2 linked regions of the Callithrix jacchus genome follow. The protein of the gene in region 2 interacts with the protein of the main gene of each other region in a pairwise test. Links are inferred from orthologs where the notes say so. Each region holds a gene or a part of one and is shown on either strand. Other genes may lie near its edges.

Region 1 (7,267 bases), on a different chromosome or scaffold from region 2:
TAACATCATCCATGTTGATCTGCAGGGATGTTGTTGATTTGTGTCAAACTACCTGGTATTTTCTTTCTGCTCAGTCACTTACCACTATCATTACCCTGTTTCTTTAAGTGGTCATTTTTCCCTCTTCCCAGTGTACAGCCTGTCACAGGAAGGTCAGTTTGGAAGTTGTGAAACCTGTATTCTGGCCTCAGCTCTGTGATAGGTTGACTCTGTAGCCTGGGACCTTGCCTTACAGGGCCCACTCTTCTCATCTGGAAAATGATGGGTAGAGCTAGATTCCTGGTTTTCAGTTTGCTACCCAGGTCAGTGATCCTTAGTTACTCTTTCCCTGACAAATTTCATGTTCCCATGCCCTCCCTCTACTGACTGGCTCTCATCCCAGTAAATCTCAAGAAGGGGCTCATAGCTCAGTCTTGGCAGGGGACATGAGGGGAGTATGTAGCTTCTCAAGATTGAAACACTGCAGACACTGAGCTTGTTTCATCTTCATCCCAGCTTCCAAATGCTAAGTTGGTAAAATAAATCGCCCTCGGCGTAAATGCTCTCCCAAGCCTCCTATCCCCACCAAGGCAATCTTAGGGATGTTCACATCTTTATGGTGACAGTAATTTGTGGCTAATAATTCCTGAGCTTGCACAATTACAGTATGCTAAGTTTTGCATGACAGGAATTTGATAGTGCAACATACACAGCCCCTTTTCTCTTTCTTTGAAGTATTAGTCTCAGCCGAACTTCATTATTTTCTCTTATCCATAATTTCTAGAGCCCAGTTGCTTTAGATTATTAAGATACTAGATAAAGTGATCCATTTGAAAAGTAAATGTGACATTTTACAATGTGGATAAAATGCTACTACATTTGGTGTTTGCTGAGAACTACTTTGCATAAAAAAGTCTCCTTTATTACATGGTTGGTGACACTTAGGCTTTCATTTATTTTTTAACAGCATGATGTAGAAATAAATAAAATTATATCCACAACTGCATCAAAGACAGAAACACCAACAGTGTCTAAGTCTCTGAGTTCTTCTTTGGATGACGCCGAAGTTAAGAAGGTTATGGAAGAATGTAAGAGGCTGCAAGGTGAAGTTCAGAGGCTACGGGAGGAGAACAAGCAGTTCAAGGTAATAGTTTATTTTCTGGTAAGCTACAGAGAACAAGGGCGTTTTCACTAGGATCTTGGATGAGGAAGTTGATGAACCAGTAAATATATAGATTTATTTTTGCTTTTGGCATTTGTCTATCTTTTTTCTCCCCGGGAAGAAATTTCCATAGCTTTCATCAGATTCTCAAAAGGGTCCTTGGATCTGCCTAAATTAAGAGCCACTGTCCCTTGATCAGCAGTTCTCAACTGTTTAAGCCCTTGTCCCCTTTAAAAAAAAAAAACAAAAATCTCACACTCTCCATTAGTGTAAATTGAAAATAAATGTTGAGACCAAAATAGCAGTTTTTATTTTGAATATGCATTTTTAAACCCCATGCCATCCCCATTCACTTGAGTGAGAATTTCTTTTTTTCAGAGGGTAAATACTGACCTATACTCTGTTTTAATGCAGGTATAGTTCTGATTTTAGAAGACTCGAAATAGGTCTGGGCAGTCGTGGCTCATCACACTGTTGATTGGTGTCATGATGAGATTGGAGGTGGGATGCTGCACAGTGGATACGAGGTGGGGATTATGGAAGGGAAACCTGAGCCTCTAGCTCGTTGACGAGGCAGTTGGCATTGGCAGTGGAAGGTTGAATTGTACTGAGTGGTGAAGGGGTGCTTCTTTTGGCTTAGAGGCCTGTAGTGGGGTGGAAGTTGCTCTCATCCAATTTGAAACAACTCTGAATCTCTGCTGGTCACAGCATCTCTTAGGCCTTTGTTTGCTAAACACCTCTAAGGCCCCTTTCAGCTTTAAAAGTATGAGTTTGTGTTAGACATGGTATTGAAGAGAACATTTCTGAACATCAGATTATAGAAACTTTTGTTGCAGCTTACATTTTTAGGCCTTTTCCTTAATCTTGATCATGTCACCCAAGCATGTAAATAGGCTTTCATTCTTAAAGTACCCTACAGCCAGGTACGTACAATAAATTCATATATTTTGACTTTTCCTTCTCTTTTATTCTGACAATGAGATAGATTTAGGAGAACTGACAACATTCAGGAAATGGTATGCAGTATCATCTTCCTTTGCAGTGATCTTGATTTGGCTCAATCAGTAAGTTCTTCTGTGTGGAGTAAATTGTGAAGCTGACACTACTTTTTGGCTAAAAATCTAAGCTATACCTAAAGCTTCTCCTTGGGTGTATTTCTCTTCAGAAACAGAGTTCTGTGCTGTTTAAAGTGATAAATAGGTAGAAATAGCTTCTATATAAACCCAATAAAATAAATGCTGTAGTTTGCTGTGCCCATTTTTTTTTTTTAAGCCAGTCGAACACACCAGTTGTTTATCATTGTGCAGTGATACTGGCCATGCCCCAAGAGCAGAATATCCTCAAAATGTTATCAGACCAATCTTGACATTAGAAGATTCTTTATCTTGCCAAATGCTGCTTTTTGTTTTGTGTTGGTTTATTCTGTCATCTCTCCAGCAAATTTACTGAGGGTCTAATATGTGCATGGCACTGTGGATTCAAACATGAACAGTTCCTGCCCTTGGGGAGCTCTCTGGTGATGGGATAGCAGGGAGAGACATAGACAGAAATGATTACAAGCCAGTGTGATAAATGTCCCACAGAGATAGCAACAAATTGCAAGGAGAGTCAGCCCCATGGGACTCATCTGCCTCAGGACCTGCTAGGTATTTGGGTGGTTGGGAGAGAATGGAAGGAAATAAAGAAAAGAAAGTATGGCTGGTGTGTGGGGTTTAGGGGTGAGTAGATGAGGTGATTAGCAAGAGATCTGGCAGCTGTGATAAGTCTGGGCCAGAATAGAAATGGCCTTGATGCGTGTCCCTCTTCAGGGATGTGGACATGGCTTTGAGGGCATGGAAGTGGCATCGTAGATCTACATAGTAACTTGCAGATTCTTAGGAAAGTGCAAGGCAGTTGTGGCAGTGGAGGTGAAGGAAGAAAACATTTTTCATTTCTTACATATTTATGTAGTTTGGGGTCAAGGGGAGGGTGGGGAATATGGTCAAGTATCTTTATATGTATGAAAAAGAATGTTGTTTTTTCAACAATGAATCTATGCATTAAGTAGAAACTGTTTGAGATGAGTGTACCAAGGCCAGCCACATTTTAATATTCCAAATATCATTTGATCCAGCAGTCTGTTTGTAACTCATCAGGTACTAGCTATGTACAGAGTACAGAGCTCTTCATTTGACAGCTTCCAGATGTCCTACTTTTAGATTCTTTTTTTTTGGTATGGAATCTCACTGTGTTGCCCCAGGCAGGCTCATTTTTGTATTTTTAATAAAAGTGGGGTTTCACCATGTTGACTAGGTCGGTCTCGAACTCTTGAGCTCTGGTGATCTACGCGCCTCAACCTCCCAAAGCGTTGGGATCACAGGCATGAGCCATTGTGCCCAGCTGACTTTGTAGATTCTTATGATTTGTATATATATTTATGTCTTAGGAAATGCCTGTGATTTTAAAAATTGATGATGATTTGATCAAGGAAGCCTATTCATTAGAGGCAGAAGGGACAGAGGTTGGGGTTGAAGAAAAGCATCTGCAGACGTGGCCATGAGGGTGGGTGGGGCTGAGGGTGCAAAGGGCCTCGTCGACCCCATTTAAAAGCTTTTTTCTGTAAATCATGGGAAACCAAGGAGCACCCTGCTTAGATTTGTCAGCATCAAGTGGAATGTATGAAAGAAAAGAGGGGACTGTTTTCTCAGTGGCTTCAGGCTAGTGCCTTCCGCTCTGTAGCCTGCAGTTTCTCCATATGCAAAATGCGGTGGACCGTATCATGTCCTCCAACACTGGGCATAAACAGCCCATCCTGCTAAGCTGTACAGTTGACTCCCCTTTCTGGTGCCTTGGATTGTCTTTGAAATGTGCATTTGCTCCTCTAGGAAGAAGATGGACTTCGGATGAGGAAGACAGTGCAGAGCAACAGCCCCATTTCCATGTTAGCCCCAACTGGGAAGGAAGAAGGCCTTAGCACCCGGCTCTTGGCTCTGGTGGTCTTATTCTTTATCGTTGGTGTAATTATTGGGAAGATTGCCTTGTAGAGGTAGCATGCACAGGATGGTAAATTGGATTGATGGATCCACCATATCATGGGATTTAAATTTATCATAACCATGTGTAAAAACAAATTAATGTATGATGACATCTCACAGGTCTTGCCTTTAAATTACCCCTCCCTGCACACACATACACAAATACACACACACAAATATAATATAACGATCTTTTAGAAAGTTAAAAATGTATAGTAAATGATTTGGGGGGGGGGGAAGAATGATCTTTATTAATGATGAGGGAAACCATGAGTAATGCCACAATGGCATAGTGTAAACGTCATCTTAAACATTGGTAGGCCTTGGTACGTGATGCTGGATTACCTCTCTTAAAACAAGACACTCTTCCTCGCCTGTTGGTGCTGGCCAGTGGAGAGCTGGAGCCCAGCGTGGTGGGGAGTGCGGTCAGCTCCACACAGTAGTCCCCACGTGGCGCACTCCTGCCCCAGGCTGCTTTCCGTGTCTTCAGTTCTATCCAAGCCATCAGCTCCTTGGGACTGATGAACAGAGTCAGAAGCCCAAAGGAATTGCACTGTGGCAGCATCAGATGTACCCATCTTGAGTGAGAGGCGTGTGTTGACTGATTGACCCAGTGCTTTGGAAATATATGGCAATGCTTTGTTCTCTTAAAGGGACCAAGCTAAATTTTTATTGGTTCATGTAGTGAAGTTGTACTGTTATTCAGAGATGTTTAATGCATACTTAACTTATTTAATGTATTTCATCTCATGTTTTCTTATTGTCACAAGAGTACAGTTAATGCTGTGTGCTGCCGAACTCTAGTGGGTGAACTGGTATTGCTGCTGGAGAACTGTGGGTTCCTCTGTCTCTGGAGAGCCTGGTCATGTGGAGGTGGGGTTTATTGCAATGTTGGAGAAGAGCTTCCAGGAAGTGTTTTTCTGGGTCAGTAAATAACAACTGTCATTGGGAGGGAAATTCTCAGTAGTGACAGTCAATTCTATGTTACCTTTTTAAATGAAGAGTACTCAAGTCTTCTAGATTGTTCTTGTACCACCTCTCAACCGTTACTTATACTTCCAGCACCCAGGTTCAAGTCTGATCCTGACCTCCCCTTGGGGCCCTAGCTTGGAGTCAGGGCGAATGGATCAGGCTGCAGAGAGTTAGAAGCGAGGGCGCCAGCAGTTAGGGGTGGGAGCAGTGGGAAAGAGACTGTTCAGCGAATCCATCTAGTACCTAGTTGAGAGTTTGACTGTGAATTAATTTTATGCCATAAAAGACCAATCCAGTTCTGTTTGACTATGTAGTATCTTGAAAAGAAAAATTATAATAAAGCCCCAAAATTAAGAGTTCTTTTGTCATTTTGTCACATTTGCTGTGTGTGGGGAATTATTTTATCGTTTTTATTATTTTGCCATTGGAAGGTTGATTTTAAAATGAGCCTTATTTAATCAAGAAATAAGAAATACTTATTTAATGATTTAACTATATGTGTGTGAGAGTGTGTGTGTGTGTGTGTGTAGTTTTTGGTTGTTTTCAACTGACAGTATGAAAAATAAAACTGCTGAATATTTAAGCACCTGGTCACCCTTGGCCTTCCATTGCTTTGACCTTCAGTAAAAAGCCTCTCTGCTAGGTCAGGGAACCATGCCGTTGAGACTAGTGACAGGCATGCTGGGTACAGTCCCACTCTGTGCACAGGCTTGAGAGGACAAGTTCATCAGAACAAAGGCAGCCCTTAGAAGTCACATACATTGAGCCACATTGCTCCTAAGCCTGGCTCTGTCAAGTTGGGTCAAGGCTCTTAAAACTGGAGAAGTGGAAGTCTGTGGTTGGTCTGAGTAACTTCCTATCTTCATGAAAAATGTTCACTTTAAATCCCAGGTACTCACAGAAGTGGTGAGCAGACCTAGTTCTTACCCAGTCACCCATGGATTGCGTTGAGTATGCAGACAGGAGGCCACCCCAGTATGAATTCATCTCCAGCATTTTTCCCACGTGCACCCCCGTGGGAGTGAAAAGACCGAGCTGTAAGACAGGTGCCTTCTGCCACTTAATTTTCCAGAGGGGACTGACATTTGCTAATTGGAGGTGCTGCAGCCGGTTAAGTGTTTCTGTAGCTTCCAGGCCCTCATGTCCTTGATAGGAGAGTGCTTAGATGGCCCCTAGCAGTGCCTAGGTGTGCAGTACAGCCCCACTACATTAGAGCAGGGCTCTATTTATTTTTAAAGGATATGGCCTTGTGTTCTGATAAAACTTTATTCACAAAAACAGCCAGGTCATGGGATTTGGCCTGTGAGTCTGTGACAGTTCCTGAAAAGAATTATCTGGGCAACTACTCTGTTTTAGACCTTTGAACATGATTTAAGAATTTTGTGTACATCTAGGAGAAGGTGTTCAACTTCTCAGAGGATGTGGGTATTTTGGTTGCGGCTAATCATCCTTTGAAGTCTCTCTTCTTATAGAGGTTAGGACTTGGTGAACATGTTTGTGGGGCTTTTGACTGAATGGCAGAAGGAAACGCTTCAGGAAGAGAAGCAGGCGAGTAGTGGGAGGTTGGTTATTTCTCAGTCATCCTGGCAGCCAAAAATGTGCCAGGAAAAGAAAGAATGTGGAGCAGGCACGGCTCTGGAGAACTTGGAGATGCATGCACATTTAGGGTGTCTTTCCTGGAATTACATAATGAAAAAAAGAGAGAGGAAGGCAAAGAGAAGGTGAATATGGGGACTGTCACAAAAGCCTTCCCTGCCCCAAGGTTAAGAGTCAGATAATCGGTATGAAACATGGAAAGAGCGAGGCTGGGTAAGGTGCCACCGGGCAGTGTGCATGGGGGAGCTGCAGCCAGGCTGCCCTCCACTCTGCTCCTGCAGTTACTGGCTCCACGGCACCTCAGAGAGGATGGCCCTGGCTTCAGAAATTCCAGCCATAGTGCTCACAAATACAGAAGAGACGGAAGCAGTGACAGAATCCTGAAAGTTTTTATTGATTGAATTTTTAAATTGATAATTTAAGCTTCCTTGGCACGATACAAAATACCTCTTAAAGACAGCAGGCTGTATTATTTGTAGGTGTGAGGAACTGGCTTGAATGCTTTTCTCCTCCTAGTTTGCATGTTTTTCCTCTCTAGTCTTTT
Region 2 (7,531 bases):
GCTTCTGCGCGTTCGAGGCCTAACTCTGCTCATAAGTGGCGTGGCCCCCCGAGTCCAGATGCTTTTCACCAGTTCTTCGGTGTCCTGTCTCTTTACTTCTCAGATCCTGCAGCTCAGCACAGCATAAGGGACACCCCATGACCCTGTGGGGCCCACAGAACATCTTAAATTTGCATAATAGTCTTCATCTTAACAAAGACGATACACTATTGTTAGATATTAAAGTTGTTTCCTTTCAGGTTTAACTCTTTAAAAACTTCTATAACTCAGTGCATAACGTTTAAATTTAGTACTGTTGTAATAAGGAGAGAGTGGTAGAAGTAAAATTACGGGGCCAAAGGGTATAAGCATTTTAAAGAAATAAGATATGAGAAGTTCTAAAGCTCTTGGTAAAGATTGACAATTGCTTCTTAAAGGAATCTACTCCCACTCAATATGTGGGAATGCTCACTTAACCAGTTCCTTGCTGAATCTGAGCCTCATCTTCCCCAGTGGGAGACAGGAGCTCACTGGTCCTCCTTCATTTTTGTCTGAATTTAAGGGAACATTTCCAAGGGACACATGGTAGATCAGTTCCATGATCTACTCAAACAAAGGGTGGAGACTGTCTCTCCACATTGCACAGAGTTCCACAGCAGGAGGGGAATGCTGAGTTTCAATAGCTACTGCAGGAGGGGAGCCAAAAACCCACCAGGGCATGGAGAAGCCTTTCTTCCTATTTTTTCAGGGAACTCAACCGTCAGTAAGTCAGAAGCAGCAACCTGGCAGAGGTGGAGGTGGGGACTCAGTCCCAATACCCTAGAGAAGTGCTGCCTCGGTGCGCTGAGATCTTGTCACACACACACCCAGATGAGAATCAGCTTCCCTGCCCTGGAAATTCTGGGGTCTCAGCCCGGTGAAAAAATGATTTCTTACCTCAGAGAGCAATAGTGAGGATAGGAAGGGCCAAGACTTAACCAAGCTCTCAAACACCAAAGCCCCTGAAATGTGTCCTGCTGGCACAGGTGGCCTCACAGGCTGCAAGTCTTGCCTCTCTTGGAGTGTATGGGAGGAACATGCAGAGACCCACTTTTTAGCAGGCTCACCTAGGAGAGATGACAGGTGGGGTCAAAGTGGGGTGTGATGTTCAATCTGCTCTAATCCAGCAGCTCCAAATGCTGAAGAGAATGCAGGGGTACTCAATGAGGGGATGGGATGGATAGCCTGCCGCAGAATGCCAGGCTTCAAACCCAACTCAGCACTGAGGTGGTGATTTGCGTGCATAGCCACTCCTTCCGTCAGTGCTTGCGACATTATGACTGGCCTGTGGGGATCTGGCTAGGATGTGCACTGACTGAAACGTCTTGAGGCCAAATATGCCTTGTTTTTTTTTTTTTTTTTTTTGATATGGAATCTCACTTTGTTGCCAGGTTGGAGTGCAGTGGTGCCACTTGGCTCACTGCAACCTCCGTTTCCTGGGTTCAAGTGATTCTCCTGCCTCAGCCTCCCCAGTAGCTGGGACTACAGGCGAGCATCACCACGCCCAGCTAATTTTTGTATTTTTAATAGAGATGGGGTTTCACCATGTTGGCCAAGATGGTCTTGATCTCTTAACCTCGTGATCTGCCCACCTCGGCTTCCCAAAGTGCTGGGATTACAGGTGTAAGCCATGGTGCCCGGCTGGCCAAATCCTCTTAAATCAAAAGTATAAACAGTGAATTTCCAAACCCTACAGAAACCTCAAAGGAGAAACCAGAGTCAGAAAATGGTGAATCCCCAAAATTTGTACTGGAAGTTCTGAAAAAAGACAGAAAAAAAAGGCCTGGTATATATTTGAAAAAAATGACACATCTTCTCTTGGAGGTGACACCTGGCTGGCAGACGCCCTAAACAAATACATTTTCTTTCTGTAACTTTCAAAATGTGAAATGTCCTTAAAAATAAGAATAAATGATTTGCTGCCTCCTGTGGGATTACTACACCTGCAGAATGCAGCCGGCTCTCATGGTTCCAGACATTGCCCCAAATCCTCAGCATCCTGAGGTCAACCTCAACTACTGTGTTGAGTTTTGTCTCACCCAGTGTGCGACCCGCCCCCTGACACGCATTTCACTCCCACTGCTCCAGTAAAGACGGTTGTCAAGACAGGGCTAGCAAGAGTGTTTATTGACAAAGGTGAATTCACAGAGAAGATTTTGGGGTCCCCGGTTGAATGATGGAGAATCTGAACACCTGGTGAGAGACTTCAGGATCTTCTGTCCAGAGTGAAGGACCAGAACAGCTTCCAGGGTGAGTCCTGCGGCCGCATAGGGGGAGAAGTGTCACCAGATTCAACTCCAGGGTTTAGAGAGAGACAGGCAGAGGGTCTGACTTGGAGAAGGTATTTCTCTGAAAGCAAAGTTTATTGTGGGAGGGAGAAAGCACAGCCAGAACAAGAGTGGTGTTTGGGGGTCTGGGTTAGATATTCTGGTCGGTGCTCTTCCCGATGGGGCAGAGAAGGAAACTCACTTCCCTTCTGTCTACTTGGTGAATCTGCGGGCCTCTGAGTTGCTGCCTGCTCCATCTCATAACACCTATCTTGGAGGGGGCAAAATTAGCTCAGGTGCCCTGCAGGCTGAGAGGGACAGCTAGCCTCAGCAGCCTGGTTTAGGGAAGTTCAGTCGCTCGAAGGTTCTGGGGAAGCTGATGGAGGAAACCGTGGGAGTCCAGGCAGCGCGCGAGGCCATGCGAGGCCGGCCGGAGCGGCTTGCTGACGCCAGGACAGGCGCGTCTGGGGAGCTCAGGCCCCCTCCCGGGGCCTCTCCCCGCTTCTCATTGCTCCACTGCGGCCCACCTCCAGCGGCCCGGGGCAGCCACCAGGAAGGAGGCCGAAGCAGTGTTCGCGGCCTGGGCTCGGCCCCAGAACACCGAACTGTCGTCCCTGGAGAGCGAGGAGGCCGAGCTGATCCTTCGCGCCAGGAGGCCGGTGCGCCCGCAGGCCTCGTCCCGCGCCCGGGCTCGGAACGAGCGGTCCAGCAGGAGGTAGATGAGCGGGTTGGCGCAGCTGTTGACGAAGGCCAGGCAGGTGGCGATGGTGAGGCCCCAGCGCAGCGCCAGCAGCAGGGGGCACGGCAGCGGCAGCGCCTCCAGACGCGCCAGGTGGAAGACGGCCCGCAGGGCGCTGAAGGGCAGCCAGGAGCCCACGAACGTGCTCTCGATGGCGAAGATGATGCGCAGCGAGTTCCTCCGGGCGCGCCCCACGTGCGGCGGCCGGCGCAGGCGACGCGAGATGCGGCAGTAGCAGAAGAGGGTGACGACCAGGGGCAGCACGAAGGTGAGCAGCAGCAGCAGCAGGCTGAGGCCCTGGAAGGCGTGGGAGGGCTCCTCCCCGCACTGGCTGCCCTGGCCCCCGGGCAGGGGCTGCAGCCCCCGGTAGAACAGGGAGGGCAGGCCGGCCAGCAGCGCCACAGCCCAGACGCCGCAGCACGAGGCCAGCGCGCAGCGCGGGGTGCGCAGCGGCCGCGCCTCGAGCAGCTTCACCACGGCCAGGTAGCGGTCCACGCTCATGCCCGCCAGCAGCAGCGCTCCCGCACAGCGCGTGCCCGCCAGCGCGAAGCTGCTGAGCTTGCAGAGGCCCTCTCCGAAAGGCCAGCGGCCGCCGAGCGCCACCGCTGCGGCCCACAGTGGCAGCGTGAGCACGAAGCCCAGGTCCGCGGCCGCCAGGTGCAGCACGAAGGTGTCCACCAGCCGCCGCGGGCCGCGGCGCCCGGCCAGCAGCCACACCACCAAGGCGTTGCCCAGCAGGCCCACGGCGAAGGCAGCCAGGTAGAGCGCAGGGATGTAGACGTAGCCGTAGGGCAGGTCCCCGGCCGGACACAGCTCCAGCTCCTCCAGGTCGTCCAACCCCGAGTAGTACCAGGGCGCGGACGCCGGGCTGGTGCTCCAGGGCTCGGTGGGGGCCATGGCCTGGCCACCAGGCCTGCGCGGGATGCAGTCCTGGGCGCAGGCGGCAGCAGCTCTGAGCAGGGGTGGGGGGGTTGCTCTTCACGCCCGCCCTGGCCCAGCACCTCCCTTCCTGCCACCCCAGACCGAGGCAAATGGGTGGGCAGGAAAGAGGGGAGGGAGGAGGGGGTGGGTTGGGAGGGGCAGGCTCCTGTGGGAGAGATAGTGGCCTCGGATTTGGGGCTGACCCAAGGGGTAAGGGCAGGGACAGGCAGAAGGGGCTTCACAACTAAGTCTGGGGAGTAAAGTCCTCAGGGCTGGGAGACCTGCCCCGCCTCCCAGTAGGAGCACGGCCCATGCCTCTATTAGTTGTTCACTTTCTTTGTTCATGAAATCCGGATACTTGCCCCACTGTCTCAGGGTTGGGTTGCAAGAGGTGGTGGGTGCCCGAGGGCCCTAATCTCTTCTCAGCCTCCACTTCGCCCCCTTCCCACCTGCACCCACCGGCACCCACCGGCTGTTGTTTTCTCTTAGAGGTGAGAAGACAGAGCCCAGGAATTTTATAAGAGTATGAAGCCTAAGGCACACCCCACCCCCAAAACACCTGTCTCCTAGGAAAGAGTCCACTACCAGGACACAGCAGATCTGGGTGGGTGGGGGAGCTTGCCTGGGCACTTAAGGCATCTCAAGTGTCCTGAGATGTGGGGCTAATGTCTTCATCCCAAGAGTGGCTCCTCTAACCCAATCAGATCCTCATGAAGCCATGCAGAAGTGTGTTAAGGCAGCGAGGAAGGTGTGTATTCAGATCATCCTGCTGGAAAGGGGTGGGACCTCACATCTGGCTCTCCCCTGTCTTCCCCCATCCTACAAAACCTACCTATTAAGCCAAACACAGATATAAGGTCAATTCAAAGGATGACACTTAATGAAACACCAGATTCGTTGTCCTGAATTATATGTCAGGAGCTTGGAGGTGGCAAGGTCCCTTGTGAACTGGGAAACTGAGAGTAAGGCAGGGGAATGAAGTCTCACCTTGAAGGGGGTGGTGGGACCTGAGGAGGAGAGGCTATGTGAGGAAAATCTTGCTCTTACTGCTGAAGGAGGCATACAGCCGCTTACATCTGAATTCTTCTTAGCAGATATCCCTTCCACAAGGTATTGTGGTGGAACTGATGTCACAGTGCATGTGCCCTCTGAGTCTGTCCCCAGTGTCCCCATGAATGAGTGGCTAATGTGCTGGGCAACCTGGTGTGGAAAATTTGAGGTGGATTATCAATTTTGTTCGATTCAGACTTGTAAACAGTGAACTCCTCCATGAAGCAGGCATTGTTTCAGGCATTACAAGAGATGCCATTCTTTTTTTTTGAGTTGGAGTTTTGCTCTTGTTACCCAGGCTGGAGGACAATGGCACAATCTTGGCTCACCGCAACCTCCGCCTCCTGGGTTCAGGCAATTCTCCTGCCTCAGCCTCCTGAGTAGCTGGGATTACAGGTACTCCCCACCATGCCCAGCTAATTTTTTGTATTTTTAGTAGAGACGGGGTTTCACCATGTTGACCAGGATGGTCTCGATCTCTTGACCTTGTGATCCACCGGCCTCCCAAGGTGCTGGGATTACAGGCTTGAGCCACCGCACCTGGCTGAGATGCCATTCTTGACCTTAGCCATTTGTTGCATAGACAGGAGAGATGGTTACTTAAGCAGAATGTGCAAGAGTCCAAACTGTAGTAAACGTTACAAGCCAGTTACTCTCAGGGATTAGAGGAGTGGGGTGTGATCATTTCCGATGGGAAGGCTGAATCAGAAAAGGCTTTCTAGGAAGTGACACTTGAGATCAGTCCCAGAAAGGAGTCGAAAGTCAAATAAGAGCAGCAGAAAAGAGAGGAAAGGATCAGACTAGGAGGAGGGGTAAAGGGAACAAGTATACCGAAATGAGGAGGAATGTGGGCTTTTCAGGGGACAAGCAGTCTGCCAGAGCCCAGGGTAGAAAGGAGGGGCAGGGGGAAGGAGATGAAGCAGGAAAGGATCTTGAAGGGATATGGATTTCAATCTAAAAGTCATGAGGAGCCAGGAGGCATCAATCTGTGTTTTGAAAAGATCCCCGGCAGAACTGTGGAGAGGGGAGAGGCTCAAGCCAGGGAGATCCCACAGTAAGTTGTAATTATTTGTGTCTGAAATAGATCATGAGCAGTGGGGACAGAAAGGAGAGGATATATTCAAGAGATAATTGTAACATCACAGGTCTCACACATAGGAGTCAAAGATAAGCCTGAGGTTTCTCTGCTTAGGGACTGTATGGACACCGTCCCCTTAACTGCCAAGAACACAGAGGGGCGCATGTGTGTATGTGTTCAGTTTGATGTTGGTTTGAGATAGGGTAACGAAATAATTTACCATGTAAACCAGGATGTTTCTGAGAGTGAAAGGGGCACTATCACAATTAACTTGGACCATAAACCAGGGCTATTTCGGGCAAACTGGGACATAAGGTCACCCTTGTTCAGGGTCCCTCTGGCACATGGAGATCCCAGGGAGGATTTGGAAAATGGTCTTAGAGGCTGGGCGCCATGGCTTACCCCTGTGATCCCAGCACTTTGGGAGGTCGAGATGGGCAGATCACTTGAGATCAGGAGCTCGAGACCAGGCTGGCCAACATGGTGAAAACCCATCTCTACTAAAAATACAAAAATGAGCTGGATATGGTGGCGAGTAACTGTAATCCCAGCTACTCGGGAAGCTGAGGCAGGGGAATTACTTGAACCCACGAGGCGGAGGTTACAGTAAGTGGAGATGGAGCCTCTGCACTGCAGCCTAGATGAAAGAGCGAGGCTCTATCTCAAAAAAAAAAAAAAAGAAAAGAAAGAAATTGGTCCTAGAGCTCACAGAGAGTCGGTATGCAGTGGTTAGGCTGTTCCTGTCAAGAATTTTTCTCCCTCACCAATTACAAGGTGGGTAGGGAAGAGGGCAGGGAATGAATGGTCTGGACCTTCCCTTCACAGCCATTTCAGCCTCCGGGCCTGGTTTTCCCCTGAAGACCCACCCCAGAGCTGCTTTTCTAATGTCTGGGCATGTGGTTGCTGGTGAGTGGTGCCCACATCCGGGGTGGAGTAGGGGGCTGCAGCCTCCTCCCTTAGAAGGCTGGCAGGGGCAGCGCTTGCCTGCCAGAGCCCGGAGACCATCAGAGACAGACCCAGCGTTGCTGGACTTCACCCCTCCAGCACACCTCAGTCTGAGGCTGAGAGAGCATGAGTGATCCTGAAAGCGGGAGATGAACAGTAGAGAAACCGCCAGGTGAAAACAAAGAATGGGGCAAGCAGACCAAAGGGGAATATAAGAAGGGGGTTGAGGGGAAGTAGAAGTAGGTTGTTTATTTAAAAAAACAGAGATACTTGCTTTCTGGGCCCTCATCTCATACCCAAGGGAAGTCTGTGGCCCACAGCTTATGCTGAATTTTCTCTGCTGAGGCCTGGGTGCTGTCCGTGGGCCTTACTGAACTTGTCTGGATGGGAGGAAGTAGCAAAGGTCAGAGCCAGGGACACTGCCTTGGGCCTGGCCTCCCGGGGTGCCCAGCCCAGTTTCAGTGGCAAAGACCAACTCTACGTTACTGCTCTTTCACTCCTCAGAAGGACTCC

What was found. The genes of interacting proteins can lie anywhere in the genome.
Region 1: the proteins of GPR25 (region 2) and VAPB interact in binary tests that used the Homo sapiens proteins (3 or more experiments, as listed by UniProt). The two-hybrid records come from large-scale screens. The link is inferred for Callithrix jacchus from reciprocal best matches to the Homo sapiens genes GPR25 and VAPB.

The regions. Positions count from the first base shown.
Region 1 is NC_133506.1:54,027,007-54,034,273, forward strand, and holds the end of VAPB (vesicle-associated membrane protein-associated protein B/C), read left to right. Parts: intron 1-946; coding exon 947-1,123; intron 1,124-4,005; coding exon 4,006-4,164; 3' UTR 4,165-5,483; downstream 5,484-7,267. UniProt on the Homo sapiens protein: Endoplasmic reticulum (ER)-anchored protein that mediates the formation of contact sites between the ER and endosomes via interaction with FFAT motif-containing proteins such as STARD3 or WDR44.
Region 2 is NC_133520.1:27,882,903-27,890,433, reverse strand, and holds GPR25 (putative G-protein coupled receptor 25), read right to left. Parts: upstream 3,979-7,531; 5' UTR 3,922-3,978; coding exon 2,791-3,921; 3' UTR 2,125-2,790; downstream 1-2,124. UniProt on the Homo sapiens protein: Orphan receptor.